Callithrix jacchus: one gene and its partner. The protein of the gene in region 2 purifies or fractionates together with the protein of the main gene of each other region. This does not show direct contact. Links are inferred from orthologs where the notes say so. Each region holds a gene or a part of one and is shown on either strand. Other genes may lie near its edges. The genes, in order: PHLPP1 and USP1.

What was found.
Region 1: the proteins of USP1 (region 2) and PHLPP1 purify together in Homo sapiens (affinity purification with mass spectrometry; 6 studies listed by BioGRID and IntAct, counting the BioPlex papers as one, with this or other methods). This does not show direct contact. The link is inferred for Callithrix jacchus from reciprocal best matches to the Homo sapiens genes USP1 and PHLPP1.

What each region holds. Positions count from the first base shown.
Region 1 is NC_133514.1:105,677,596-105,692,535, reverse strand, and holds the start of PHLPP1 (PH domain leucine-rich repeat-containing protein phosphatase 1), read right to left. Parts: upstream 6,596-14,940; coding exon 5,023-6,595; intron 1-5,022. Other genes in the region: uncharacterized protein LOC118146920, read left to right, coding at 5,958-6,416, 6,466-6,981. UniProt on the Homo sapiens protein: Protein phosphatase involved in regulation of Akt and PKC signaling.
Region 2 is NC_133508.1:99,522,885-99,537,561, reverse strand, and holds the start of USP1 (ubiquitin carboxyl-terminal hydrolase 1), read right to left. Parts: upstream 6,660-14,677; 5' UTR 6,400-6,659; intron 5,936-6,399; exon of another isoform or gene 5,564-5,935; intron 3,220-5,563; 5' UTR 3,150-3,219; coding exon 2,980-3,149; intron 1,571-2,979; coding exon 1,450-1,570; intron 888-1,449; coding exon 783-887; intron 1-782. UniProt on the Homo sapiens protein: Negative regulator of DNA damage repair which specifically deubiquitinates monoubiquitinated FANCD2. Also involved in PCNA-mediated translesion synthesis (TLS) by deubiquitinating monoubiquitinated PCNA.

The DNA of each region.
Region 1 (14,940 bases), on a different chromosome or scaffold from region 2:
GACCTGTTAAACCCTGGCACATAACAAAATCATTAAATCTAAGATGCCTCATTTGACAGACGTCTCATTAAATTCACTGCAAAATGAAGGTACGAGATGTCTTTGAAAACTGGGGGGAAAACCTGTTAAATCAAAGAAAACTTTGAGAGAGAGCTCTTCTCTCAAAATCCAGAGTTCACTCACATGAAATCGAAGATATTAATAGTATGTGGCACATCTAAAATCTATTGCCATGGGAGAAATGCCACTGTGTGTATATGTGTGTTTAACACATCCCTGGGGACTCAAACAGGATGAAAGCTAAAGAAAGAATCAGGGCACACACCATCAGCTGCTTAACAAAATTCCAAAAATTCAATTCAACAAATGTTAAACTAAAACATTAAATATTACACTAGGCTTCGATCACATACAGTGTCAGTGAATGTTGTGTTACCAGTCAATGAAAAGCTAAATTCAGGATTCTAAGAAAAGAATGAGAAACAAGAAAAACATTTTACACTTAAAAAAAAACCGTCTTTGTATATATCAATCATTTAAGGTGGGTGATTTGACAATCTTGTAGCAACCAAAAAATAAAACTTTCAACCTAAAACTTTACACAAACTCATTTACACTCTTCTCCTGCCCCTACATTATTTCAATGCATATAAAATTTTAGTTATTTAGAAATAACTGAAATTCAGGGAGAAGAACTTACTCTCCAGCACTAAATAACATATGAATTATGAAAATTACACAAGAGCATAGTAACACCAAGAAAGGATCATTAAAAGACAATTCCATTTTTTAATAATAGGTTTAGGTAAAAAAGATATTTAATGACAGATATTCTCAGTTACTTTAAAAGCTATATTTTAAAGAACCTGAACTGTCATGCACACACACACAATACATACACTCCCCTCAAACACAATACATACAAAAGTCATCCACTTTTCAGGCAAAGTGTTAACTCTCTACTTCCCAATGAAGATTTACTTCCCAATGAATAAGAGAATAAAGAACTATTAGGTAAACTTTACTTCATATCAACTTAAATGCAAGCATGACTATTTGCAACCAGAATATTTAGAACACTTTACTTCTCTTTCCATACTGTCTACTTATTTCTCGTCTTGGTTCTCTATATTTTTTAAGGCAGCATGATAAACAGAATGATCCACATTTCACAAGAAATACCACTTTGAACTAGAGTATGTCACCTCATAACCAACAAAAACAGCATATTTTCAGAATGCTTTTAACCAAGTGAAAAAATTCAAGTGTAAATTTAATTTAGCATCAATTCATGGAAAGTGATATGAATTGCAAAATAGAATACCCAAGCTCTCTATTCTCCATCCTGCCGAGGATGGAAAAACCACAAGCAAGGAAGGGTCAGATCTCTCTGTGCATCGGTTTCTCAGTCTGAAAAGAACAGTGTCACTGACTCCTCCTTAACACTGTTTTTGAAACAGTATATGAAATAATTTATGTGGAAACCCTTTAAGATGTTTGAAGATGATAAAATCCAATGTATTACAGACGTTATCAAATCACAGTTGTGAAGGATGGCATGTACTTTACAACAAAAACAAATAAATAGAAACATTAAAATTAAAGTATGTTTTAAAATGTAAACAAACCCTCTGTACTGAAAATTAAAGGGACTGTTCAAGCACACACTGGTGTCACATGTTCAAACCGTGTTACTCAATGCTGCTGTAATTATAGTAGTAAGAACCTACTCGTCAATATTATAGCTTAATGCTGAACTTCCCCTCTTGGTTTGCATGTAGGAAACCACGTTAAGGTTTGATCATTCCCAGAAGAGAAAAAAAAAAGGGAATATGAGAGGGATAAAGAGATTGTTCCAGAGAAATCCCAAGGAGTCACACATAAAAATACCTTGTCCAAGATTCACCAGGTACAGTGAGTGTGCACTGTATTCTGTCAACACCCTTTGTCATTGCTAAAATTCAAACTGAAATTGCTAGACCTCTCAGCTCTAAGTGGTGGGAAAAAAGAGTCAAAAAAATATAAAAAGATACAGTTTAATGCTGCCCTACATGAATGACAAAGGCTCCCCAGAGAGTCGAAAACAAAAGCTCATTCACATTTAGGAGTCCACAACTTATGTCAGGCAACCTAAGTTCTTGAATTTTTTTAACCTATAATTACTCTCTTTCAGGCAAAATTTAAGATGTCTGATTTTACAAGGATGTTAAATACTTAAGTAACTTCAGATAAAGCTCATTAAATTTTCTCATATCTTAAGTGAGCTAAGAGAATGGTGGCCTGGTAGATGCTATAACAATTTTCAAACCAAGTTTTCGTTAACAACTCTGTAATTAGATAGTACCTTTACCCAAGGCCTTTTTGTTCATTAAAGACTTTCATTTTACTTTACCCAAATAAATATTTAAATATTCAAAGCAACCACAAATGGGTTTCAAAGCCTCTAAAGAACAACCCTAGTCAGCTTACAAACACTAAAATTTAATAGAAAGGTAATTTTCAAGAGAGTAGACCCTTAAGACAATAGGTAAGTTCAATTTAAATAAAGATAAATATTCAAAAGAATTTGAAAGCAACTTCCTAGCTATCCTGAACCCCAACTATACATAAACAAACAACATGCAGCAATAAATTTAAAAATAAGTTATATATAAAATTACCAAATGGGGTACAGAATTTTCAAAAAACCCTGTAAAAGGTGTCATCTAAAACAAACATTAATTATCCTCTTCCTACAGAAAAAGAAAAAAAAAAAAACACTTCTACCAAAATGTAACTCTCTCCTGTTGAGGTGTCCTACATTCTGTTGGAACACGGAATTTCTAGGAATTACTCCCAGTCTGGTGCAAACCTTCACTATATGTGAAGCCCTGACAATGCTTCCATAAGTGAGATTACACTTCATTCATCAATAACTGAACTTCTTTGCACAAATTCAAGTGGATTCACCATACTAAATTTTGTTCTATGGCAAACGAATAACAGCAAAGATGTGTGGCATATTAACCTAGGCTTAAAATAATCTCAACTTTGCTTAAAAAACCAGCAGTTAGATAACTTTGTAACAATCAGGCATCTTTCTTCTAGGACACCTGTACACTGCTTTAAATTCAAGAATAGAGTGGAAACTGTGTGTGTCATCCCCACTTTTGTAAGCAGTGGGGATTCATACTCAGTGGCATGAATGCATTTATGGCTGTGCATATAGAAATAAGGCAGTAAGTGCGGAATGCGGTAACAATTACTGCTTTTCATAGAGAACAAAACAAGATTAAAAGATCATGCCAAACATTTAACTGGGAAAGACTTGTCATTTTAATATTAAGATGAGTTTTGAGGAAAAAACAAGTTCTTATTACCCACTAGAATATCTGGGACACTCTGGAAGAGAATCGAATGGACATTTATCACAATGGACATATCAATCATGAGCAAAACAAGGGATAACACACTATATCCATATAAAATGTGTTCAAACTCTATTTCATATATCCCTTGTTTTATATACGTTTTCTTCCATGTAGGTATAAGGGCGCCTATTTTTAATGCTTTTGTAAAATAACAACATTTTACAAATTACATGAATTACAGGAGAAAAAGATACAGCTGTTGATCTTACACAAAAAATCATCTATTTCCTGGGCCATAAACTTTAAAAGGCATGTCATCCAGTTGACAAACTGTCCTCAGATACTACAAATGCTACTGTATTATTATTTGGTTTTCTTTACAAGGAAAAGATTCATCAGAAATTCACTTAAGAATTTCAGAAAAACTTCCAAGGAATTTAAAAGGGCATCTCACTAGAAATGCTGTCAGTCTTGCGGATTTCAGTGTGGGAGTAAAGATGTAAAGATTTCTTCTTGCAAACTAACTAAACTGCCACTGGGGCACAAGCTGGACCGAAAGACATTAAATCGTAAAGAATAACTACAAATTAATGGAATTACAAGTATGATTATTCTTCCACCATCACCTACAACCTAAAAACCTAAAGGTGACGAAGATTTAACACTCCTGACTTAATTTTGCTATGCTAACTTTATTTAAAATAAAATTCCTTATCACTGAGAACATAGTTACTCAAACCAGAGGAAGAAAAGGATGCAAACTATTTATCAAACTCAAGTACAATATCCAGGACCTATAATATAGCTCCTGAATTTAGTACTAGCCAAGTCTTTAGCCAAAAGAGAAACATTACGTGGGTCACCCCAGTCAAGAATTTGATAATGTACTGAAAAAAGAAGGGGAAGATTTTAGATCATATCTGAAGAAACAGTAACCACCTAAATCCTTCTTGTAAACCCTCCTGCAAGTCCTACAGCAGTGGTCAGTTCTGACCATAAAGGATGGAAGAAATTCAAGAAGAAACAAGAAAAATCATTTTTTACGCAAGACAAACTTGCAGACAAAACAGAAATCGAGCAAAAAAGCGCTGGGGAAAAGTATCAGTGAAAAAAAGGACCCTTTTGTCAGATTTCTAATGGGGAATTTATGAGTGTGGCAGAGCTGAATAAACAAAGGCACCAGTTGACAAGTCAGGAGCTCCCGGTGGCACACACAGCTAGAACACTCAACTGGACAGTGAAATGCAAGCAAGAGTGTTCTAGAGCATTTCTGCTGTCATTTCTTCCGTCCGTCTTATGCTCGCTCACGTGACCGTTTACCTGAAACCCCAAACAGCCTGAAACCCAACAAGTCCCTGAGGAAGCACCTTTATGGTTAAACGTGCTCTTGCCGCTTTCAGGGGGATCTGCTTCCTGTGCTTCCTGATGATTCAACCACCTCCTCCACATTGCTTTCCAACCTCTGGGGCCTCAAGATTGATAAAACGCGCAGATTTACAGATTGCTCAGTTTAGTACTACACAGACTGTATGAAAAAGCTGTAAAGTTTAAGACAAAGACTCACCAGGACCCGAACTGACTCCTGGGTTGGGCAAACTGACAAACCATTTGAATCACTCCTCGGTCCTCGGCAGCGTTTGCACCCACCCGTCAAGGTAGGTGCCTTCCTTACCTGCATAGAAGCGAATGAGGCAGCCAATCTCCGAGTCCATGCCTTCCTCCTGCACCCTCCACAGCTCCCCAAACCCCAGCTGGAAGAGGTAGTCATTTTGGATCTGCAATGGCTTCTCCTCCGCCTCCAGGCGCCGGGTGGTCTCTCCGTGGAGCTGCACGTACAGGGTGGGCGGCGGAGGCACTTTCTCCGCGATCGCCCCGCTCCTCCTGGGGGTCGACTGGGGGCCTCCCGGGGCCGCGACTGTCGCCGTTTTCTCCCTGCACAGCCCCTCGCGGGCGGCTCCGCCCGGGCTGTCGACGGCCCTCGGGGCTTTCTGCTGCAGCGGAGGCAAAGACGCCGTCTGGGAAGGCGGCCGGGGCTGCGCGGGGCGGCCGGGACGCCGGGGCGGGCCCGGGACCCCCATCGGGGCCGAGGCCGGGTCGGCCTCTAGCTCTTCCGACGACGACGAGGAGCCGCCGCCGCTGCTGTAGGGGTCCAGCCGGTCAGACACGCTCTCGGCGCTGGGACTCAGGCTGAAGCTCTCGGTGTCGGAGGCCACAGGTCGCCGGGCGTGGGGCGGAGAGGCAGGGCCCCCCGCGAATGGCTCGCCGGGGCTTAAGTCCGAGGGCGCGGGACTGGCGCGGAGCGTCCACCCGCCGGGGCCGCCAGAGGGTAGGGGCAGGTCGGCGGGGGGCGCGCTCGGAGGACCCCCGACGGCACCCGGCGCGCTCCTCGCGGGCGGCGCCTCGGAGTCTGGCGGCTCCGGGGGCGCGAGTCGGGGGCCGGCCTCCAGGGGCGGCTCGGCGGCCTCCCGGGCGGCAGCGGCTCCGGGCCCCTGGCCCAGCACCTTCACGACGCCGCCGCCTTTGTGGCCCAGCTGCAGCAGGCGGGCGGCCACCTCGCCGGCCGTAGTGTCCAGCGTGCAGAGCACCGGGCGCTGGTAGGTCGAGGCCATGTGGCGGTCGAAGACGTGCACGCAGCCGCGCTGGAGCTGGTGCCTCACCCAGTCCCGGTCCGACGGCTGCAGCTGCAGCGTCTGCCGGTGCTTCAGGAGCAGCGTCTTCCTGTCCAGGCTCCGGGTGCACAGCGACGCCGAGGCCGAGCAGGAGGCGGGGAGGCCGGCGGCGCCGGGGGAGTGCGAGGCAGCAGCGGCCAAGGACGACGACGACGAGGCGGCCGCAGCTGCAGCCGACAGATTCCTCTTCAGCCGCCCTCTCCTCAGCAGGAGGGAGTTGGTGCCGCCGCCGGCCCCGGGCACGGGGGCAGCTCCGCCGGCGTTGGGCAGGGGCGCCCCGCGCCGCCTTCTGCGCCCGGTGCCCCCTGCTCTGCCCGGCAGCGGCCCCAGCGGCGCCTCGCCCGGGGCCTCTTCCCGCGCCCCGCCGCCGCCGTTCCCGCCGCTCGGGGTCCCCGGGGTCAGCGCGGGCTCCGGACTCCGGCCGCCCCCGGCCGCCGCCGCCAAAGCCGCCGCGGCCGCTGCCGCTGCCGCCGCCGCCGCCGCCGCTGCCGCAGCGGCGGCTGCCGGAGCCGAAGCTCGGTCCTCCCTGCCGGGCTCGGGGAGTCGCTGCGCCGTGGCCGCGGCGGCGGGCTCCATTGCAGTGGGGCTTCGCGTTTCCCCCCCAGCTCCGGAGGCAGCGGGCGGAGAGGGAGGCGATGAGGCGGAGGTGGGAGACAGCGGCGGCGCGCGGAGGAGGAGAAAGCCAATGGCGTTCGGCTCGGCCGTTCCAGGGGATTATGTGGCGATTCGGAGCATTCCGTCGGTGTCTCCGTGTTCCATCCCGCGCGCCCGCCTCGCCGCCACCGCCCCCCCAACACACGCCCTCCCCGCCCCGGTCGCGGGCTCCCCAGCGCGGGCCCCGCCCGCTCCCCGGGCCTCACCCCAGCGAACCAGCCGCGGAGCTGGGCTCATTGAATATTAATCACGCGCCGGCAGGCGGGGAGGCGGGAGGCTGGCAGGGCGGGAGGGCCGCGTGTGCCTAATGAATATTCATCGCCGCATGACGGCATTCCAGGGAGGAGTGGGGAGAGCCGGGGGATGGCCGGAGGCGGAGCTTCAGGGTAAACAAACGTGACGCGTGCGTACCAGGGCGGGGCGGGGGGGGCAGTTTCCCGGGAGGTTCCTGAGCCTGCCTCGGAGAGGGCGGTGAAGACAGACGCGCAGTGCACCTTGGGGGTTGTGGTTCTCGTCCGGGTATCGGCAATCTCTAGGGAAACATGACGGACTACAAGTCCCAGCGTTCCTTAGCTTCTGCCCCGCCGGCCCGCCTGCCCGCCTGCAGCTGGCCATGGCCAGTGAGTATTGTGCCCTCTGCCGTTGAACTCTGCCAGAGTTCTTAATGAACGCGAAAGCTCTTGTTTATTAACTTGTACTTTACCCGCACTCAAGCTCGTCAGATGACTTTTCTTTTCCGTGCCAATTAAAGATGAGGGCTTTCAGAGACTCTAAACAGTACGAAGGACCCGGGTCCTGCTCCTCACCTCCGCCCATTGTATGAGATAAGAGATACTCACCCGCCACACCACAGGATCACTGGCGGCGAGTGGTCCAACCTCACTTTCTTCCCACTTTTTCAAGACCCAGGAAGACAGGCGGTGTCTGGGAATTCTAAGTGAGACTGTCGTTGAATGACCTTGGTGGAAGGCACAACCTTAAGCCTGTCCTCTCCCTATCCTGTATCTGAAAAGGAAAATGACAAAGGACTGAGCTCTCATTGATCTTGAATTCTGAAGTAGTTTAATGATACGGAAAGCACTGGAAAGTAGAAGAAACATTAGAATGGAGACATGGTGAGGTATGAGATGGGCTTTTTCCATGTATTCTCTCTTAACGTCTTCTCTGGCTTTTTTCTGTCATCATTTAGGAAGAAAGTATTTTCTATCGCTACAATGTTTAGTCATAGTCTGAAAAGTTGTATTTTTGGTCAGTTGAATCAAAGTTGTAGGCTGGACTAGGGCAGTTTACTATTTAAAATAATTTAGTACATCTTTTTAATTGAATTACCATCCTCCACAGTTGCTTTATAATTCGGGTTTTGTTTTGTTTTGTTTTGTTTGCCACAGAGTTGGTCTGTTGCCCAGGCTGGAGTACTGTAGCGTGGCCTGGGCTCACTGCAACCTCCGCCTCTGGAGCCCAGGTGATTTTCCCACCTCATCCTTGGAGTAGCTGGGACTACAGGGTGTGCCGCCAGGCCCAGCTCATTTGTTATATTGTTTTGTAGTGGGGGATGGAGAGTCCCTTCATGCTGCTACGGCTGGTTTCAAGCGATCTGCCCACCTCAGCCTCCCAAAGTGCTGAGATTACAGGCATGAGCCACCGCGCCAGGCCAGGCCCTAAATCTGGATTTTCACCTAAGAACATTTTAAACTACATCCTATCCAGGAACTGCTTTAACATCAATTAAGTTACTAAACTTGGAGATGAAGAGTTAAGGGGGTTGGAGAGAGACCAACTGGAGCTTACAGCAAGGAAAGGCACGCTTGGGTTATCACAGTTTCATTAAACAAGAATAGAAGAAGCCATGGAGATAAAAATAAGTATTTCTCAATGATTTTTTACATTCCTGATCATTTTCTATGTTTTCATTTAACAGTTTACCTTTTGACCTCATGAAGCTATTTATAATATATATTTTATTTAAATTCAATCAACAGCAACATTAAAAATTGGGGAGATTGCAAGTTCTCCCAAGAGTGATAACATATTCAAATCAATTAATTTAACAAATAATTACAAACAGGTATTATGTACCAGTCACTGTGTTACAACAGTTGAACAAATCAGACACTGTCCCTGCCTTCATAGAGTTTATAGTTTAGAAAGAACAACATTCAAAAAGTGAGATTGAAGTAGAGAAGGGGGAAATACCATTGGAAACGGACATAAAACAAGGAAACTAACCTACTCTAGGAAGTCAGGCAATAGAGACCAAACTCTGAATGAAATTTTTTCGTGTCAATGAAAATGTGCATTTGTTGAAGGATCAGTCTCTGAAAGAAAGGAAGCAAAGAGGAAGCGAATATATTGAAGACATATTTCAATTACACTGATCTATATTGTGCCTTCAGTAGCCCCAACACAAACTATTTGTTCTAGAAATTCAAAGAGTGGTCTTTAAATTTAGGCATCCTTTAATAAGATTAAAAGAACAAAGCCCATGTTAAGTTTCAGTACTAAAACATGGAGTTTGTATACCTGTTTATATTCCTTAGCTGATTTCCTACAAACCCCTTTATATTTATTTATTTATTTATCTGCTTTATTTATTTATTTGAGACGGAGTCTCACTCTGTCACCAGGCCGGAGTGCAGTGGGGCTCTAACTCCCGGGTTCAAGCAATTCTCCTGCCCGAGCCTCCTGATTAGCTGGGATTACAGGCACCTACCACCACGCCTGGCTAATTTTTGTATTTTTAGTAGAGACAGGGTTTTGCCATGTTGGCCAGGCTAGTCTCAAACTCCTGACCTCAGGTGATCCACCTGCCTCTGCCTCCAAAAGTGCTGGGATTACAGATGGGAACCACCGCGTCCAGCCTGTTTGTTTGTTTGTTTGTTTGTTTGTTTGTTTGTTTGTTTGTTTGTTTTGAGACAAAGTTTTGCTCTTGTTGCCCAGTCTGGAGTGCAATGGTGTGATCTCAGCCCACTGCAACTTCTGCCTCCGGGGTTCAAGCGATTTTCCTGCCTCAGCCTCCTGAGTAGCTGGGACTATTGGCATACCACCATGCCCAGCTACTTTTTAATTTTTTTTTGTAGGTACTGGGTTTCGCCATATTGCCCAGGCTGGTCTGAAACTCGTGACCTCAAGTGATCTGCCTGTCTCAGCCTTCCAACGGGCTAGGATTACACACATGAGCCACCACATCCAACCCAGAATGTTTCTTCTCATCATAAATTCCGCACCATTGCCCTTTCTCCAAGAAATTACAATACAGTATTTAATCCACCTATGGTTCCTATCAGGTAACATTACACAATCACCACGGCTCTGCCTTTTTATTCTCTAGGAGTTTTATTTACTCTTTGAAGGTATTTATAACTAAAACACCTCCTTCAAGGGGAAAAAAAATTGTACAAAAAACATTGTTCTGAGAGGGCACAGTGGGTCGGTCATGCCTGTAATCCCAGCACTTTGGGAGGCCAAGGCAGGTGGCCAAGGAGTTTGAGACCAGCCTGGCCAACGTGGTGAAACCCCATCCCTACTGAAAATACAAAAAATTAGCCGGGCATGGTGGCAGGCACCTGTAATCCCAGCTACTCAAGAGGCTAGGACAGGAGAATCGCTTGAACCCAGTTGGCGGAGGCTTCAGTGAGCCAAGATCGTGCCGCTGCGCTCCTCCAGACTAGGCAACAAGAGCAAAACTCTTGTCTGGAAAAAAAAAAGACATTGCTCAAAGAATTTAGTATCCAAATATTGGGGAAAAGGGTACTGGAGAGCCATCACACACTCCGGTAGATAGGGACTTGGTACCAGGGATACCTAATACTAAGTTGTGGTGGGAGGAGGCAGGCAATGAACAGGATGTTCATCAATGAGATGTTACAGTATCTCAGCATAAAGAAGAAGGAAATGCATTCCTACCTCATAAAAGCAGTGTTTGCAGGGGTGGGGATCTAAAATAAGGTTTTCCTGGATTTCATGCATAGAGTCGATAATCTGAAAGATGACATATTCCATTGTATGCAGAATAATAAAAAGCAGAGCTAAGAGGAGAGCAAATGGGCCAGGGTCCACAGTGTAATCCTTCCCTTGTTCTACCCCAAGCCTCCAATGATGTTACTAAGCTTGGGGTAAGAGAAGAGACAGAAAGAAAACGAGAGCTCCTGAAGAATAAACAATCCCTTACCACCAGATCAACTGGAGCCTGGTAGTTGAAAGAACAAATTGATAAAGGGCAATGAAACTTCTACTTAGAGCTTGCTAGTATCATGAAACATCACCCAGACCATCTGTGCCAATGCACACTGTAAAATGTCTCCAAATAAGAAAAAGATTTCAATAGAAGACAAATGTGTTCCAGATACCCATGAAATAGCAGCTTCTCCTACTTAAAAGTGGAGTGGGGAATACACCAGTATCCTAAAACAACATATGTCATGAATACCCCCCCTTTAAAGTGTTCCAAATGTATGTTCTAATACCACATTTCTTACTAACCACACTTTTCAAAGAATCCCATTTTAAAATGCTAAAAGATAACCCTGAAAAGAAACATCAGATGAAAAAGTTGTAAATCCTGATGCCAACTTGTTATATTTTCACAGCTAAGTCTAGAAAAGGAGAACGTAATTTCCAATTTATTGCCACAGTTTACTTTATGCTATGTAATTTATAACTGACTTGTTGTGTTCTGCATCTAGGTTAATTCTGTTTGCATCCTTAGATCTAAGATAAAGGAAGTCATCTTTGGATGTTTCTTTTCTAATATAAGCTGTTGGAATTTTAATGGAGGCATAAATTGATAGCTGGGATGATTTCAGTCTGAGTTGTTAAGGGCTCAGCTGTGTCCAGAAATAAACTCAGAAAGATGCAATATACAATGTAATACATTTAGTTCCTACATTATGAACAAGGGATCTAATTATAGTTTCACATTTTTATATCCCTTGAGCTACTAGTGGTTTACCATGCCTAAATTGTTCACTGTTTACTCATTCTTTTTTACTATGAGGGACCCATTTAGCAAATTACTGCTCTAGTGCACTAAATGGGCCCCAGGTGGCCAAACTGAATTAATATGTTCCCTGTTCACTGGCAGGATGAGACCTTATGGTCTCTCTAATGTCTTACCCCTCCCTCATGAAATTTACAATTTGAATTCTATCAAGAGGTTGGATTGCTACTATCATTTTAGGTAGTCTGTTTTACAATATGGCTTGATAGCTTTTCAGATTTTAGTGCACTCTTTTTAATCCCGTAATTCTTTGTCTTGTTCTTATTTCTCACATCCTGTCTCACCAAAATAAACAGATGTTCCATACATGGCAACAATGAAGTTGAGACCAGAAATACAGGCCACATAAACCCACCCTGATACTCTAACAATGTAAATTATCTGGGACATTCATTCAGCAAGTACTTATTGAACTTTTTTTTTTTTTTGAGACAGATTCTCACTTTTTTTTTTTTTTGAGGCTGGAATGCAGTGGTACAATTTCGGCTCACTGCAGCCTCCGCCTCCCGTGTTTAAGTGATTTTCCTGCCTCAGCCTCCAGAGTAGCTGATTATAGGTGCCTGCCACCATGCCTGGCTAATTTTTCTATTTCTTTTAGTAGAGATGGGGTTTCACCATGTAGGTCAGGCTGGTCTCGAACTCCTGACCTAGGTGATCAACTCGTCTCGGCCTCCCAAAGTGTTGAGATTACAGGTGTGAGCCACTGCACCCATCTACTTATTGAACTTTAAGTTTAGGTATCATTCATCCTAAGTAAATAGTATAGACAAAAATACCTGATCTAATGAAGCCTATTTACAGGGATTGGCATTTAAAAAAAAAAAAAATCTTCAGTTAAAATCAACCTATTCTCTTCCATTATACAGATAATTCTTGTTTTGGGCAAGTGGGATACATGAGAATCTAGATATACAAATTACATATTAGAGTATAAATATTTCTTCTCAAAGTCTCATTTATTCTTTCCCTTATGAATGAATTTGTCACACATTAAGTACGCCTATAATATTAATACATTTAAAGTATATTAATCTTAAAAATTAATTTATTCCTAGCTTTTTAGAAATGTATTTTGGATTCTAACTTCACACAACCACCTAATACCTGTTTTGCATCAAGATTCCTATCTAGGCCAGGCATGGTGGCTCATGCCTGTAATCCCAGCACTTTGGGAGGCCAAGGAAGGTGGATCACCTGAGGTCAGGAGTTTGAGACCAGCCTAGCCAAGATGACGAAACCCTATCTCTACAAAAATACAAAAATTAGCCATGCATGATAGCGCTTACTTGTAATTCCAGCTATTCGAGAGGCTAAGGCAGGAGAATCTCTTGAACCTGGGAGGTAAAGGTTGCAGTGAGCTGAGATCATGCCTTTGCGCTCCAGCCTGGGTGACTAAGCAAGACTCCATTTCAAAAATAATAAAAAAAAATTAAAAAGATTCCAATCTAACAAAAATCTATCCTACGTCATTCCAAAGCATTTCTTCTTATTCTTCCATGACTTAAAAGAGAAAAGTTGTGCAGATAATGATTCCCGAGTACTTATATTCATTAATTATACCACGAAGAAGCAGTGTGGATATTCTCTTTTTGTCCCATTGTAGAGAGATTATAGGAGACTCATCAGTCCCTAGAAGTCTTGTCCTTTTCCCCTCTACTGCCTGCCACATCTAGTGGGTCTGGGCTTCTAAGTGTCTTAGTTTCCTGGGGCTGCTGTAAAAATCCGCCATGAAATGGGTGGCTCAAAACAACAAAAATATATTCTTTTGTTACTGATAAACTTGAGGATCCTAAAAGATGGGGTCTTTCCTCCTTCATTGCTGCAGAGCCAATACACAACTGAAAGTCAGCGTCAAGCAGAGCAAGGTTTATTCTGTGGCCAGGGAATGAAGAAGTGGGAGCCTGGCTGGAAAATCACCTTTTCAACTAGTGCAGGGTGAGGGGGCTAAAATGTAAAGTTTCCCTATTGAAGGAGTTGGACATTAAATGCAAGGGGAGGGGCCAGGTGCAGTGGCTCACATCTATAATTCCGGCACTTTGGGAGGTCAAGGCAAGCAGATCACTTGAGGCCAGGAGACCAGCCTGGCTGACCTGGTGAAACCCCATCTCTACTAAAAATACAAAACTTAGCTAAGCATGGTGGTACATGTCTGTAATCCCAGCTACTTGGTGAGTTGAGGCAGGAGAATCACTTGAACCTGGGAGGCGAAGGTTGCAGTGAGCTGAGATCATGCCACTGCACTCCAGCCTGGGCTAAAGAGCAAAACTCTGTCTCAAAAAAAAAACACTATTATGGCTGGGTGCAGTGGCTCATACCTATAATCCTAGCACATTATAAGGCCAAGGTCACCTGAACTCCTGATCTCAGGTGGGAGGCGGATCAACTGAGATCAGGAGTTCAAGACTAGCCTGACCAACATGGTGAAACCCCATCTCTACTAAAAATTACAAAAAGTAGGCAGCATAGTGGTGGGCCCCTGTTATCCCAGCTACTCAGGAGGCTGAGACAGGAGAATCACTTGAACCCAGGAGGCGGAGGTTGCGGTGAGCCGAGATTGCGCCATTGCACTCCAGCCTGGGTAAACAAGAGCGAAACTCCGTCTCAAAAAAAAAAAAAAATACTATTTTTAAAAGGACATTTTAATACACATTTTAATTCAAGAATTTAGCAATTTACAACCATCTATTATCATATGTATCAAAATTTTACAAAATATGGCCACTGCCTCCTCACCTCATAATATATGTGATCTTACCCATATTTCTGTTGTAAAATTGAGATGCCAGAAAAATCAAGCAGTGGGGCTCATGCTCAGGTGGGTGCATTAATTAATAAATCAGATAGAGTGACAGTGTTGATGGCACGATAGCATTTCTTAGTCTCCTACACATGCCATAGTTTGAAAGGTGGTGCCATGTAATATTTTGAGGAAGTGTTATAATGTTCATGGTTAGAAGTCAGATGTCCTGGCTCTAAACTGCCTAGCTAAGTATGACATGAGGAAGACATTTGACCTTAAAGAACTTTTTCTTACTGATTTATGTAATAAAGGATTGAACTACACATTGTCTCTAAAATCTCCTCTGGCACAAAGAAATTTCTCATTCTGACTCAAAGCAAAACTATCTAATTTGGAATATTGACAAATGTTTTTATTAGTCACAAAGTAGAGACCTTTACATTCAGATGCTATCATTTTGACATAAAAAGACTTTTTTTTTTCTTTTGTTGAGACAGAGTCTCGCTCTGTCTCCCAGGCTGGGGTGCAGTG
Region 2 (14,677 bases):
TATTTGTGAACAAATTAAGTGCCTTCTTCATTTGTCTTTGTCTCACTTTACTAGCTTTTCTAAGTTGCATTATAGCACTAATTTTATGGGATAGACAAATCAACCTTATTTTTTTTTTATTTTGAGACAGAGTCTCTGTTGCCCAGGCTGGAGTGTGCAATGGCTTGATCGAGGCTCACTGCAGCCTCAACCTCCTGGGCTCAAGCAATCCTCCCACCTCTGAGACTACAGGGGCACACCACCACACCGAGCTAGTTTTTGCATTTTTGGTAGAGAGAGGGTCTTGCCATGTTACCCAGGCTGGTCTTAAACTCCTGCGCTTGAGCAATCCACCCATCTTGGCCACCCAAAGTGCTGGGATTACAGGTGTGAGCCAATACGCCTGGTCTTTTTTGTAATTTTAAGAGGAATTTTTAATTACTATTCATGTGAATTACAATGGTTTTAAATACAGTGTATTTAAATTTTTTAAAAAGTCAATTTGAAAACACAATGGGTAAATAGGTTATACATGGGTATAACATGGTGATTATAGTATACAAACGAGGAAAGTATGATAAACAGATTTGAGGACTAGAGCAAACACTCAGTAAAAGGGAATTATCTAGTTAGCTAAGTTGAAAGAATGAAAAACAACTGCGTTTCTGACAATAGTTCATTAACAGAGAAATAATCTTTGTCATCCTCCCCTCAAAATCCTCTTCGTTTCCAGGCAAATGAATTTCCATTCATTTACTTGGGCATTTTATGTTATTTTCTGTTCTTTTATATATTTTTCCTACCTTGTCTTTTTGATTGGCTTCATCCTTTAGAGCTTCTTTCTTCCTTGAAATAATATTAAATAAGTGCTTCACTCCAGATTTAAAACCAGGACAAAAATATAATACCTATAAAAAGTGAGATTGTGTCAGTGTTTACTGAACCAACAAGATACATAAAATCATTAAAACAATATCATGCTTTCTATAGCGCACTTTTAATGTGTATTACCTAAAATTCTGAGATTAAGCTTTGTGTCAAAATTTGTTCTCCACCCCATCAGTAGTAGCCCAGTGTCTTCCCTCATTGGCACAAAGCACTGAGCCTGGGCAGATATTGCTAAGACTTTAAGGTTACAAGGACACACAATGCCAACATTATTTCCAAGGGATAAGATACATATCACTGTAGCACCAGGAATCAGAGAAAGAAATTAAAGCTTTGAGACATCTTCCATTTTATCAAGGTCTACTCAATTTTATTATCCCACCTTTATTTAGTGTATCACTTTCTCTTACCCCAAAGTTTAATAACATGCAACATATTGTTTTAGCCTACTATATTTACAATCAAAGGCAAAGACAGTATGAACATTAAAGTCCTTCAATAGCTCAGAAACATTAAATGTTACATTGTTACATCATTCTTTGCCGACTAAAGCTTTATTATATAGAAAAATTGTCAATTTACCTGAAGTATACTATTAAGATAACAGGTATTGCCGAGATTATTCAGTCCCACAAATGGTAACAAGTTTTCTCTCTTCTCACAGTTTATAGGTGAAGACTGTGCTGCAGGAACAACTTGATCACTATTAAGTATAGAAGGGAGAAGGATAATCAAGCAGCATCTTAAACAAGGAGAAAATATTACTTCCGTAGATTTAGTCTTTTCCCAAAAGTTGTATAATCTAAAAAGTATGTGAACCTTGTTCACATGACATTTTAAAAAATACAGGCTCAAAAACTGCTACATGCCCAGAATAAGTTTTAAAAGTATTTAAAAACATTATTACACTTAACAAGCCTCAAAACAATTCCCTCAGAAGGATGTTAATCCTATTTTACAGAGTAGGAAATTGAGGAACTAAGACTGTGATTTGTTTCACCTACTTTGACATTTTAATCAAGTAGTTTTACTGAATAAAAACCTGGGAATAAACTAACCATGACAATATTTGGGAGAGGCTGCACTAAGTAAGATTCTATCAGTCAGAATTCAGAGGAAAGAAAGTCTATGAAGAGAATTATATATGACTTCCTGCTGGCCAAAAAAAGAAAAATTATATAGCTATTCCTCACAATGTTCAGAAGGTGGATGTGGTGGCACTGACATGTAATCCCAGCTACTTGGGAGGACTGCTTGAGCCCAGGAGTTCAAGACCAGCCTGGGCAATACAATGAGACCCTGTCTCCAAAAAAAAAAGTTCAAGTTTATTATTCTTTTACTTCCTTAACAATCAAAAAAAAACCCCACTAGGTCCTCCCAGTATTTTCATTTATTTTACGATTGCTAGCTATCATTACTCTAGCATCTTAAAGTATTTAGAAGCATGAATGCTGATAAACAAAAGGTTCTCTCTCAATCTCAACTGATTATTGGTAGCTATTAGGAAATTAACACATGGGACCAAATCCACCTTAGTCACCCAGCAGAGTGCTTATTTGTTAAACAGGAAAGGAGTACAGACTCCAGCTAGAGCTGCTGTTGATGAAATAAAGTATTCTACTTTGTTCTGATTTATTTTCAGTAGCTAAAGAATTTATTTGCATCAAAAGCATTACTTATTTATAGGTTTATTTTTATGATTTACAATCGTATGCCTCCAACAGGTATGACTAATTATATATGACTACAAAGTTTAAAATGTAAACTGCCAAGTCTTCTGAACCAAACAAATATATATCACCTTTTATCCCTACACAAATGTTTTGCATTGCAAATAATCAAATTTAAACTCAGAAAGACAATTTTAGTCAATAAATATTTCTCCAAGTTAGTCTAAATGCCTGAGCACAGTGTTCATGAGTTAAACATTATGGATGTGATCCCTATGGGAACCACCAGTTTTGCTGTTCCTACTATAAACTACTAGACTTACTAAAAAGTACACTTAGGTGTACTTTTTTTTGCCTCTATAAAGTCAGACTGGAGTTGTCAATCAAGTTCACTGCTGCTTCACCATAGAATTTTAACAGTACAGAAATGTAAGATACATACATTTCAGATGCTCTATATTCAGAAACTTTTTCTTCATTTTCTTGAGAATTTGTGAAATCCAAAGCTCTCTTAGTTTCTTTCTTTTGAAAAAACTTTAAAGAAAGTCTGTTTTTCTTTGATGGGCTACCTCTTGAAAGTCCATTACTTTCACTAGGTATGACACCAGGCATTTTTTTCTTCAAATCCCAAGGAGTTGTCAAGAACAAATTTATAGGGAAAAGTTGTAATCACCAATTATATCTGTTAACCGCAGAGAAAAATTTGTATCAGTTTTAGGTAACAAAATCATCAATTTTGAAAACAAATTTACCAAGGGAATGATACATTAGAAATTAATATTTGAAAACCTCATGCCTGCCAATAAGCACTCAATATTTATTGTTTAAATGAAGGAGCTTGCCACACTATTCATAAAGAACAAAAAATAAAAGCTACTGAATTTTTTAAATCAGCCTGCTATGGATTAAGGGTCGCATTACAAAATATCCTATTTAATAGACCTACAGTAAGGTAGTATTAGTAAAAACTTAGTATTTCATTATAATAATGCATTCAGAAAATACTGACTGAGCACTACCACCTCTAATTCCCAAGTACAAGGTGGGAAACAAGGATGAACAGAAAATCATAGTGCTGGACGATGAGTCCCCTTTTCCAAGGCCTTTTCTAGTTACTAACATGAATACATGAAAATAAGGTATCAGTATCTAAAAAGCTTATTAAAGTATAATCTGCATTCAAGGCATAGGGATGGTGTTAAGTTATACCTAAAAACCCAAGTGAAAGATAATAAAACATATGCAAAGTTGAGACAGTGATATAAAAAACTGTTTGATGCACTCTGTGTAAATCAAATTCTCGGCTCACTGAAACCTCCACTTCCCGGGTTCAATCGATTCTCCTGCCTCAGCCTCCTGAGTAGCTGGGATTACAGGTGTGCACCATCACGTCCGACTAATTTCTTTGCATTTTTAGTAGAGACGGGGCTTCACCATGTTGGCCAGGCTGGTCTCCAACTCCTGACCTCATGATCCGCCCGCCTCGGCCTCCCAAAGTGCTGGGATTACAGGCGTGTGCTACCTCGCCCGGCCCGTAAATCAAACTCTTAATGCACTAGAAACTACAATATTCTACTCGTTTTCCAAACTTTTAAAAAAAAACTTTGGTTTTTAAAAATAGTGCTTTCAGTAGGAAAAATGATGATCTTGTTTGCCATTTGCAACTTTCCTACCCTGTTTTAAAGTAAAACTTTCACATGAAAAAATAATGGCAACATTTGTAGGAGTTAACATTTTCTACTTCAGTCCTATATTTCAGTAGAACAAATGAGGAAAAATTGTCTGACTGGAGTATTGTCATTAAATTACTTAAAGCCCAAAACCTCAGCAACGACTTTCAAATTTGAAATGCAGAGTGATAAAATGAACTAGACAAAACTCATTCAAATTCCATCCTTAATAGGCATTTCACTTGGCTGACAGCGATCTAGGAATTCACACTGAACTCAGCACTGAAATCATTTTTGAGACCCAAGTCAGGATGATCTGTAAAGTGACCAATCTCCCCATTCTGTCACCAACTCCACTTACTCTCCTGTTCATATCCAATGCTTCTCAGGAAGCGCTGTCTTCTGACTGATAAACCAACCTGCGCTAAGTTCTCAGGGATCGCCAAGCATTAATGATTCTGATAAAAGGTTTTTCTCGAGAGCCCATTCTAATGGATGATAGAAACTGGATCTCAAACTGACAGAGTAACCGGACTTCACAGAAGAATGATTAGGGGGGTGAAATAGCGGATCGTCAGCTTAATCAACGAAACAAACTCCTGGTCCCTCAAAGCAATGCTCACACCGAGAATGCAACATTTTGCCAGATGCAGTATCTTCCGCGCTATTATTTCTTGCTCCTAGCTTTCCTTATAACTGGGGGACTGTTACATCCAAAATATTTCTCCTGTAACTAACTCAACTTCCGCAGAAAGCACAACGAATCGACCATTATCTGTTGACAGCGTGAACACTCAGTCCCAACAGTTTTAATTTCTTTCCTTTATGACACGACTCGATTCCGATTTCTCGAGAAAAATCTACAACAAGGACAATATCTTCGCCAAGGTTTAAGACACGTGGCGTTCTAAATACTTCTGGTGAAAGTGTAAGTGAAAGAAAATGCGCGGTAAAATTTCGCAATTACCGACACAGTGCAAGCTGCGTGGAAACGTTTCTTTCTCCCCATCCTTCACCGCTCTCGGGAACGGAAAAGAAACTGGAAGGACGTGCAGCAACCGGGCCACCGGGCCACCGGGCCGGGGGAGGCTGGCGGCGGCGTCCTCGGCCCACACCCCCGCGCCGAGCGCCCTCGCCGTGGAATTGGCCTATTTACGCCCAGCCCGCACCTGCCTTCTCGGGTCCCGGTGGCGGCAAGACAGGCGCCCCGCCCGGGGCACACACGGCTCCCGCTGGCAGCTTGGTCAGGGTGCAGGGCCAACACACTCCCGGGGTCTCCCTGGCAGTACCTCTCCGGCGCCGGCCGAACTTGCCCCCGCGCCCGAGCGCCGGGCCCTCCTCCCAGGCCCTTCTTACCTGGTCATGGCCAAAAGCGAGTTCCGCGGCGGTGACGCCGGCGAGTCCAACCCGAATGAGTGTGGGTGCGACAGGTGAGTCCCTGCCCCGAGCCCGCCGGATCCCCGGCCCCAGGAAAATCTGGTCGGATCGCCCTCCCCGCGGGGGAGTGACCATCCGCTCCCAAGAGCGGGAACCCGGGCCACCGCTCGGTCCCGCTTTGCACCGGCACGAACTACATCCCCGGAGCTGCGCCCATCCGCGCCCGCCCCGGGACGGCCAGGAACGCAAGAAGCAGCGGCCCCACTCGCTGAGCGCCTGAACCGCTAGGGTCCTTCGCACTCCACCACCGAGGGGAACTTGGCGCGTTTTCCTCAGTCTCAGGACCCCCGTGTTTTAGCCTCCGCCCGCGCCAGCGCTGCGATTGAAGGTGGCGTCCTTTGAAATTGCCGGTTCTAGTCTCCACGTTGCAGAGACGCGAAAGTCAGGAGCTGCCTCGCGACGGCCACTCACCCCCGGCACGCACGGGCTCCGGAGCCAACTGGGACGGTAGTTCCCCAATAGCCTAACCGGTTCCGCAGTTTCAAACAGCGCAGGCACAGAGCCGGGCAGCTCGTGCGGGTCCTCGCTGAGGGCGCGCGCGAAGTGCTAGCGGCCTGGCTGGCGGGCTCGAGCCTCACACCCTTTTTTTAACCATTCGTGCGCGCGAGTTAAGGGAAAGCGTACGGGTCGGGAGACGGGACAGAGAAAAGACCGACGGGCCACCGCCTCGAGAAGGAGCCCAAATTCACCAATCCATGATGAATAGTCCCCAAAACCGCGCCCCCCACCGCCCGGGGGAAGCCAATCAGAAGTACCTAGACCAAAGCCAATTAGATGGGCGGGAACAGCAAGCCCAGCTAATAGAAAAAAAAGAAGAAAGGAGGGCTCTAGCCAATCATTGTTCGACATACGGTGCGTTCCTCAGGCGCGGTGCCCCTCCTTCCGCTCTCATTGGCGCTCGAGTGCGCGCTTTCGCTTCCGACTGTTAAAATCTTGTTTGGCGTTTTGTTAATCTTCGACGGTGGGACGCCGCGGAGGGTGCGGCTTCCGGAGCGAGGCCCTCGCGGCAAGCCCCGCCTCCCGTTCGTGCGTACGCGCCCGGGCGGGGTTACTAGGATAGCAGCTTCCGAAAATGGCTGCCAGGGTAGCCGCTGGCGCCACGCTGAGGCTTTCGGTTCTGAGTCGCAGCCCCAGTGGGCCTAGGGCCATCCAGTGAGACAAGGTGCTGCCACAGATAACAGTACATTCTCAGGCGAATGCTGTAGAGCTGAGGCCCCATCCTCAGCCCCTCCACGCCTCATTTTTTTCTTATTTACCCCTTTCCCATTTCGGTGCGCCTGTTTAACCCTTCCCCTCCTCGGCCGCAGAAGGAAACGAAAGAACAGTTTCAGGCCCAGCTCCGGCCACAGGAGCTTCCCAGCGTTCCCGCGCGGGCCCTCCCAAAGGGTGCAGGAGCGGCAGGCAGGCCTCATCTGCTTGTGCTTCGTTTTGTGTTTGTGTGCTTGCTTTGGTGAGGTGACCTCAACGCGAGTGCTGCCGTTAAGTAAGTTATGTTCAGTCCAAATCCATTTAATCAAATATTTTTAAGACGCCTACTATGTACCAGGCATTTTTCAAGGCTTGAGGGATGAAATGCATTCCCTGCCATAAAGGAGCACTACATTCTGGAGAGGGAGTCAAGTGACACTAAGATAAGTGATGGATACTTATCCGTATAAGTAGTCTGGAAAGATCTCTTTGAGTTGACATTTGAGCAGAGCTGAATAAAACTGAGCGAGCCTTGGAGGAATCTGAGGGAAGAATGGTGCAGGCAGAGAGAACAGCAAGTTAGAAAGGTCCTGAAGCTTAATGTGCTTGGTGTCTTGGAAAGGAGCAACGAGGCCAGGGCGCTTAGAGCACAGTGAGTTTAAGAAAAGATGGGAGAACGGGCGCTGTGGCTCATGCCTGTAATCCTGGCACTTTGGGAGGCTAAGGCAGGTGGATCACGAGGTCAAGAGATCGAAACCATCCTGGCTAACACGGTGAAACCCCGTCTCTACTAAAAATACAAAAAATTAGCCAGGCGTGGTGGCATGCGCCTGTAGTCCCTGCCACTCAGGAGGCTGAGGCAGAAGAATCGCTTGAGCCTGGGAGACGGAGGTTGCAGCAAGCCGAGATTGTGCCACTGCACTCCAGCTTTGGTGACAGAGCAAGACTCCATCACTAAAAAAAAAAGAAGAATAAGAAGATGGGACATGGATGAGACTGGCAGGGCCCTGGGTAAGCTGAGTAAGGAGATGGGAGTGGTTGGATGATTCTGAGCTGGGGAATGGCAGGATACACGTTGACCTTCAAGAGTACAAGCAGAAGGCCAGGCGCGGTGACTCACACCTGTAATTCCAACACTGTGGGAGGCCGAGGCAGGTAGATCACCTGAAATCAGAAGTTCAAGACCAGCCTAATTAACATGGTAAAACCCTGTCCCTACTAAAATTACAAAATTAGCCAGGCGTGGTGGCACAGGCCTGTAGTCCCAGGTACTCTGGAGGCTGAGGCTGGAGAATCACTTGAACCTGGAAGTGGAGGTTGCAGAGAGCCAAGATCACGCCACTGCACTCCAGCCTGGGCAACAAGAGCAAAACTCTGTCTCAAAAAAAAGTAGAAACAGAAAGATCAGCCAAAATTCTGGTTAAATAAGCCAAGAAATAAATTTTGATAGTTTGGAATAAGATGGTGGGTTGCTGAAAACTGGTAGCGTTCAAGCTATATTTTGAGTATAGCCAATGAGCTCTGCTAATAGATTGGCTGTATGATAATGTAAGAAAACACAGGCCGGGCATCCAATGGGCGGCCAAGGTCGGTGAATCACTTGAACCCAGGAGTTCAAGACCAGCCTGGACAACACGGTGAGACCCATCTCTATGAAAAAAACTCCAAAAATTGGCCGGGCGTGGTGGCACTTGCCTGTAGTCCCAGCTACTCGGGAGGCTGAGGTGGGAGGATCTCTGGCTGCAGTGAAGTGAGATGCACCACTGCACTCTGGCCTGGGTGAGAATACGAAACCTTGTCATATGTCCCCCCCCAGAAAAAGAAAGAAAAAGCAAGGATAACAATGATTTTGTTTTGTCTTGTTTCATCTGAGCAACTTAGATAACTATTGGTCCTTGCTAAAATGGGGGTCTTAGTGGGCTAAATGGGAGGGATCATCATTAGAATATTAAGATTGAGATGCTTATTTAACATACAGATGTTGAGCCAGCATATAACAAAATACACAAGGACAAGATTAGAAAATATGTAAGTCAGTCTTTCTTAGCCATTGTGTATCACAGACTGGCAGTGTCTCATTTTCTAGTACTAGCAGAATTACTGCTACTTTCAATCTCTACCAGAACGGATAAGCAATTCTATTTTCCCATATCCCTGAGATCCTATTGTCTGCAGCCACTATTCTTCCTGTATTCAATATGTGGTATCAGTTAAGATTCAGTTGCAGAAAATAGAATCCATTTCAGCTAGTAGAAACTCAATGGTATCGCATACTTGGGAGGGTTGATTAAATAGGCTCTAGATTAGTTTTTCAGCAATGACTCTTCTATGATCCGGAAATGATGTCTCTGAATCACATTGCTACTGCAATGCCTCGGAAACCTCCACCATCAGAAAGCTGCTTGCACTGCTGACCCTAGAACCTCACTATATCCACTATGATCTGCACCAGTGCCATGCATGTCCTAGGTCCTGCCTGTCAATACCCACAGGACAAGTGGCTGGACACAGATTTCTGCTAATGCTGCTTCAGAAAAATCAAACACCTCCACACCTGTGCTTGTCAATAGCCATAGCAGAAGCTTGGTGTATCTCTGGCAATATAATTCATGTGAAAATTTAATATCCTTCTCATCCTTTTGCTCTCAGTCAGTTCTTTGTGGGAGAAATTCTAGCCACAGTTCTTGCTTAGTTTTTAAGCCCAGAAACTTTTTTCCTGGTTTCTGTGCACTCCTCAGCTACCCTACTCTTAATGACAGCTAATCCCACTGGAAAAATGGGATTTAATAGGTTCACAGCATTCTTAATCCTATATTTGTCAGTCTTGTATGGGTAAATGCCAGGCATATTTCCTTCCTAAGTTTCACAGGCACTGTTTCTATGTACAGTCATCCCTTGGTATCTATGGTGAATTGGTTCCAGGACCCTTGTCGATATCAAAATCCAAGGATACTCAAGTCCCATATATAAAATGGCATAAATTTGCATACAACTTATGCACATCCTGCATATATTTTAAATAATCTTTAGATTACTCAATTACCTAATACAATGTCTACACATCACTTCATTCACATGGATTTAACATAGTATTTAACACTTGGCATGTGGCAAGTTCCAGTTTTGCTTTTTGGAACTTTGTGTACCTTTTTTCATAAGGTTCTTTGATCTGTGGTTGGTTGAATCCATGTATTTGGAACCCATGAATGTGGAAGGCCAACTGTACTTCAGTCTGAAGGCAAGAAGAAGTGTGGTTTTTTTCCCGCCCTTTAAAGTTTCAAATTATGAGGTGTTTTTTAGGGGGAGGTGTTGGGAATCGAGTCTTGTTTTGTCACCCAGGCTGTAGTGCAATAGCATGATCTTGGCTCACTGCAGCTCCGCCTCCTGGGTTCAAGCAATTTTCCTGCCTTAGCCTCCTGAGTAACTGAGATTACAGGTGCACGCCACCATGCACCACACCCAGCTAATTTTTGTATTTTTATTAGAGACTGGTTTCACTATGTTGGCCAGGCTAGTCTCCGCCATTTCCAACCATTTCCCTTCATGCCACAACTTTGGGAGGAAAAGGGTTTGTGCCCCCACATTCTCTCCTGGTGCACAACGATTTTGTGCCATTTTCTAAGGTTGTTTTCTCTGACGATTTCCAAAGTCACATTTGGATTCCTTCCTTTTCCAACCATTTCCCTTCATGCCACAACCCTTTGGGAGGAAAAGGGTTTGCGCCCCCACATTCTCTCCTGGTGCACAATGATTTTGTGCCATTTTCTAAGGTTGTTTTCTCTGACGATTTCCAAAGTCACATTTGGATTCCTTCAGAATTGTATTTGTCAGCTAGCAGCTTGGAGGAGGAGGAGGACGACAACGACGAAGAGGAGGTGGAGCAGGAGGAGGAGGAGAGGAGGAGGAGGAATGTGGGGAAGGAGGGCGGGTGAGGGAGGAGGCTGGCAGACAGCGTCGGCACACGGATAAATGGCTTTGACTGAAGGACCCGTGCCGCGCCTCATGCACCAGCAATGCAAGCACGCTGCTCGGCAGCAACGCCGACGTCACTATTCCCTTCATGCCACAGATTGGTATGTGATCTGCCTTCTAAAGCTGGCAACAGGTTTACCAAATGTCTGGCAACTGGACAACAAGGGTCACCAGTTTTTCATCTTGCAGTATCTGAGTCTTTACCACCCACTGCCCAAATGCTTCTACTAAACAAACACCACATTTCTTTTAAGGTTATGTGTAACACAAATTTATAGGAACCAAACTTTGCATCCAATAGGCATAGGTTCGTTTATGAGTAACAGAATATTTTTAAGTGGCCTTAGCTAAAATTAACATTTATTTATTTATCATGTATACAGAAAGCAGAAGTAGGCAGTCTAGATTAGTATGGTGATTCCATGACCATCAGGGACCTAATTTCTTCCATTCTCAACATGTGGCTTCTATTTTTTGGTCCTAGATAGTTGTTTGGATTCCAGCTATCATGTCTACACTCCTATGCAGGAAAGAAAAAAGGATAAAGATGATCATGGTCCCCTCTCTTTAAAGGTACTTCCTGGAAGCTGTACAAACCATTCCTACTTATAGCTCATTGGCCAGAGCTTAAGTCATATGACAGCATTATTCTGGGTGGCCATATACCCAACTAAAAATCAAGGGTTATAATATTAAGGAAGAATAATAAAATGGATATTAGGGAACAAATAGCATTCTCTGCTATGCTTCCCTGTACTAAGTTAAAAAAAAAATCGTCAGCAGGCGAAGATACCCCAAAAGGTGAAAAATGGAAAAGTACTGTACACCTTTTGGTTCCTTGAAAAGAGAATATGCTGGATATCTGTATGCCCTTGTGGTAGATATGAAGATGTGCTCCCCAGATCCCCCTTCAAGGAAGGACTTGTTCCCAAGCTGCAAAGAGTACCTCCACTTGTCAGTTCCATCAGGCTCTGCTTTAACCACAGACAGTGGCCTTGCCCACAGTCATGCGCTTTGCAGCCTAAACTGGGTGATTAAGCAAGACTGGACTATAAAGGCTCAGCCATTATGGCCCACCACTGGACACCTCTGATGGTCAGTATTCACTCCGGAACTCTTGGCCAAGCTGGCCAAAGCTTTGTTGGACTTGTACTAGAATTTGACTTCATTCTCTTCCCAGTCCTACTTCCTCTCCCTTCCTTTCACATCTCATACTCCAGCTTTGTCTCTCTCCACATCTGCTCCTCAAGAAGCCTGCCTGCATGAGTTAGTACAAGGATTGGTTGGAAAAAGTAGACAATCAGATGGGGTTTGGGAGCTTAATTATAGACTACCTAGGAGGTGGTAGGTGAAGCATAGTCAGCTCCTGGCACAAGATAATGGTCCAATCAGGATGATGTACCAGGTGGAAGAGAATGCACTAGTAGGTGTGATATATCTGGCAGTTAAGATGTACGGTGGAAGTTGTAGCTATGAGGATAATAGAATTGGATGGTTATTGCTAAACTCCATTGATTACAGAAAAATAAAGAACAGCTGAGGGTAGGTAATAAGCAATTGAAGGTCTGGTGTGAAAACCAGAGCTCCTCTTTGTTGCTCAAAAAGCAGCTCTCATCTGCAGGGGAAGAGTGGAGAAAGCTGAGCACCAAGACCACTTTAGAGTGGCCAAACTTAAAAGATGGTTAAATGCCTAAAATAGGTCTGTTGTGTCAAAGTCAGGGCCATGGTTGAGAAAATCTAGCACCCTGACACACAGGACATGCGGGTAGTGATCATGAAAATTTCAATTCCCCTGGCTCCTCTGATGCCTGAAGTGTGGCCCCTCCTCCCTCCTAAGAGCTATCACTTTCCTGTATTAGAAAACATTACAGAGGCTTCTACTTGAAAGGCATGTCCTCCCTTCCTTCTCCCTTCCCCCAGCACTCACACCTCTCATCTAGTCTTCTGGCCAGTGGACCTATAATTAGGGTTAAATCATAGCATAACCTAGTTGGGAAGGTGCTGTGCCTGGTGAGTATAGGTAAAGGACTGTTTCCCAAAATTTAAGACCTAGACAAGCATGTAGCAACAGGAACTTAGGAAGAATACATGGGCCTGGATTCAGATGATGCTTAAGCAAGGGGAGCTGGAATGTAAAATTGAATGGGGAAAGTTACATCGAATTTGGAGTATTCTTCCAAATACAGGATTTAATATTCTGCCAAGGACCCCCAAGAGTTTGATGTGAACACTCACTACTACAGTGGCTCCTAAAAGCATGGGAGAAAAAATGAAATGCCAGAAGTGCCAGGGTAGGCAGGTGGCTCAAAAAGGGATTAAAAGGCTCCCAGAAATGGGTCTGCTAGAGTGAATATATTATGTACAGAAGGTTGTGATCATTATGTTCTGAGGGAAGGCCCAGAGGACACACCATTTACCAAGGCCATAAGGAATGCACTGGTGCAAAGGACATAAACATCACTAAAAAGTTCAGTGGTGGCTCTCTGCAAGCCAGGACTGATGGTAGCAGAGGCCTCCCAGACCTATACTCACTGATAACAATGGAGATGATAAGACCCCAAAACAATACAGACCAAGTGGCAGTACTTAATTACCAGAAGCCAGGAGCTTGCAGTTATTATGAGCTACCAAGGGGACCTGACCAAGAGAGTTATAGAAATGGTTACTAGATGGTAATGTCCTTAGGGGCAAAATAGACAATCAACAAAGCTCTATTATTTTGTACTAGTGGGAAAACAAGGATAGATGACCAGGACGCTAAGGATAACCACGCAATAGTCAATTAGTTTCCAGACCAGAGCATTTTTAGACCTGGAACCCACTGACTGAAGAGACCTTGCTATATCTCAATAGTATAAATGGTAATGGTTTCCCCAGTCCTTCCCCAAAGGGATCTTCAGTCATTTACTTGGGTCATTGTACCCTGGTGAAATGAGCATACCCAAACTTTCCAAGGATTGTGAAACAGGTTATTAATTTAACTTGCTGTCCACAGGCCACAAGCATCATCGTGGTCCTCTGTTATAATGGGGGCATAAAGAGGCCAGTTAATAAATGGAGTCATGGCAAGGACCAGCTCAGAGTGAGTTTACTACTGGATCTGTGACTACACTTAATGGTCATTTCCCCACCCTTCAAATGTATAATGGGTTGTCCTTTTTGGCAGCTGATGCAACTCCATTAGGACTTTGCCTATGGAGTAAAAGCCATAATGGTGGGGAAGGCCAAGTGAAAGCCTTTGAAACTGCTTCCCAGCTCCAGCGAAACATGGCACAGTCTCTTAGTCATCTCAGGCTGCTATAACAAAATGATATACACCAGGAAATTTAGACAACAGACATTTACTTCTCACAGTATTGGAGTCTAGAGAGTCTAAGATCAAGGCGCTAGCAGATTCAGTTTCTGGTGAGGGCTCTTTCTAGCTTGCAGACAACCACATTTTTGCTGTGTCCTCACATGGCCCTTTCTCAGTGTGAGTGTGTAGAGAACTCTGAATTCTTCCTCTTCTTATAAGGCTACTAATCCCGTTGTGGGAGCTTTACCCTCATGACCTTATCTATTAGAGACTGAATGTTTGTGTCCCCCAAAATTCACATTGAAACCTAATCCCCAGCATGATGGTATTTGGGGATGAGGTCTTTGGGAGGTGATTAAGAAATGATATTAGTGCCCTTGTTAAAGAGCCCCAGAGAGTGCCCTCACCCCTTTCCCCATGCCTTGTTGGATCCAAGTAGATACCTATCTTTGAACCAGGAAGACTTCACCATGTACAGAATCTGGCAGTGCCTCAATCTTAGACTTCCTAGCTTCTAGAACTACGAGAAATAAATTTCTGTTGTTTATATGCCACCCAGTCTGTGGTATTCTGTTATA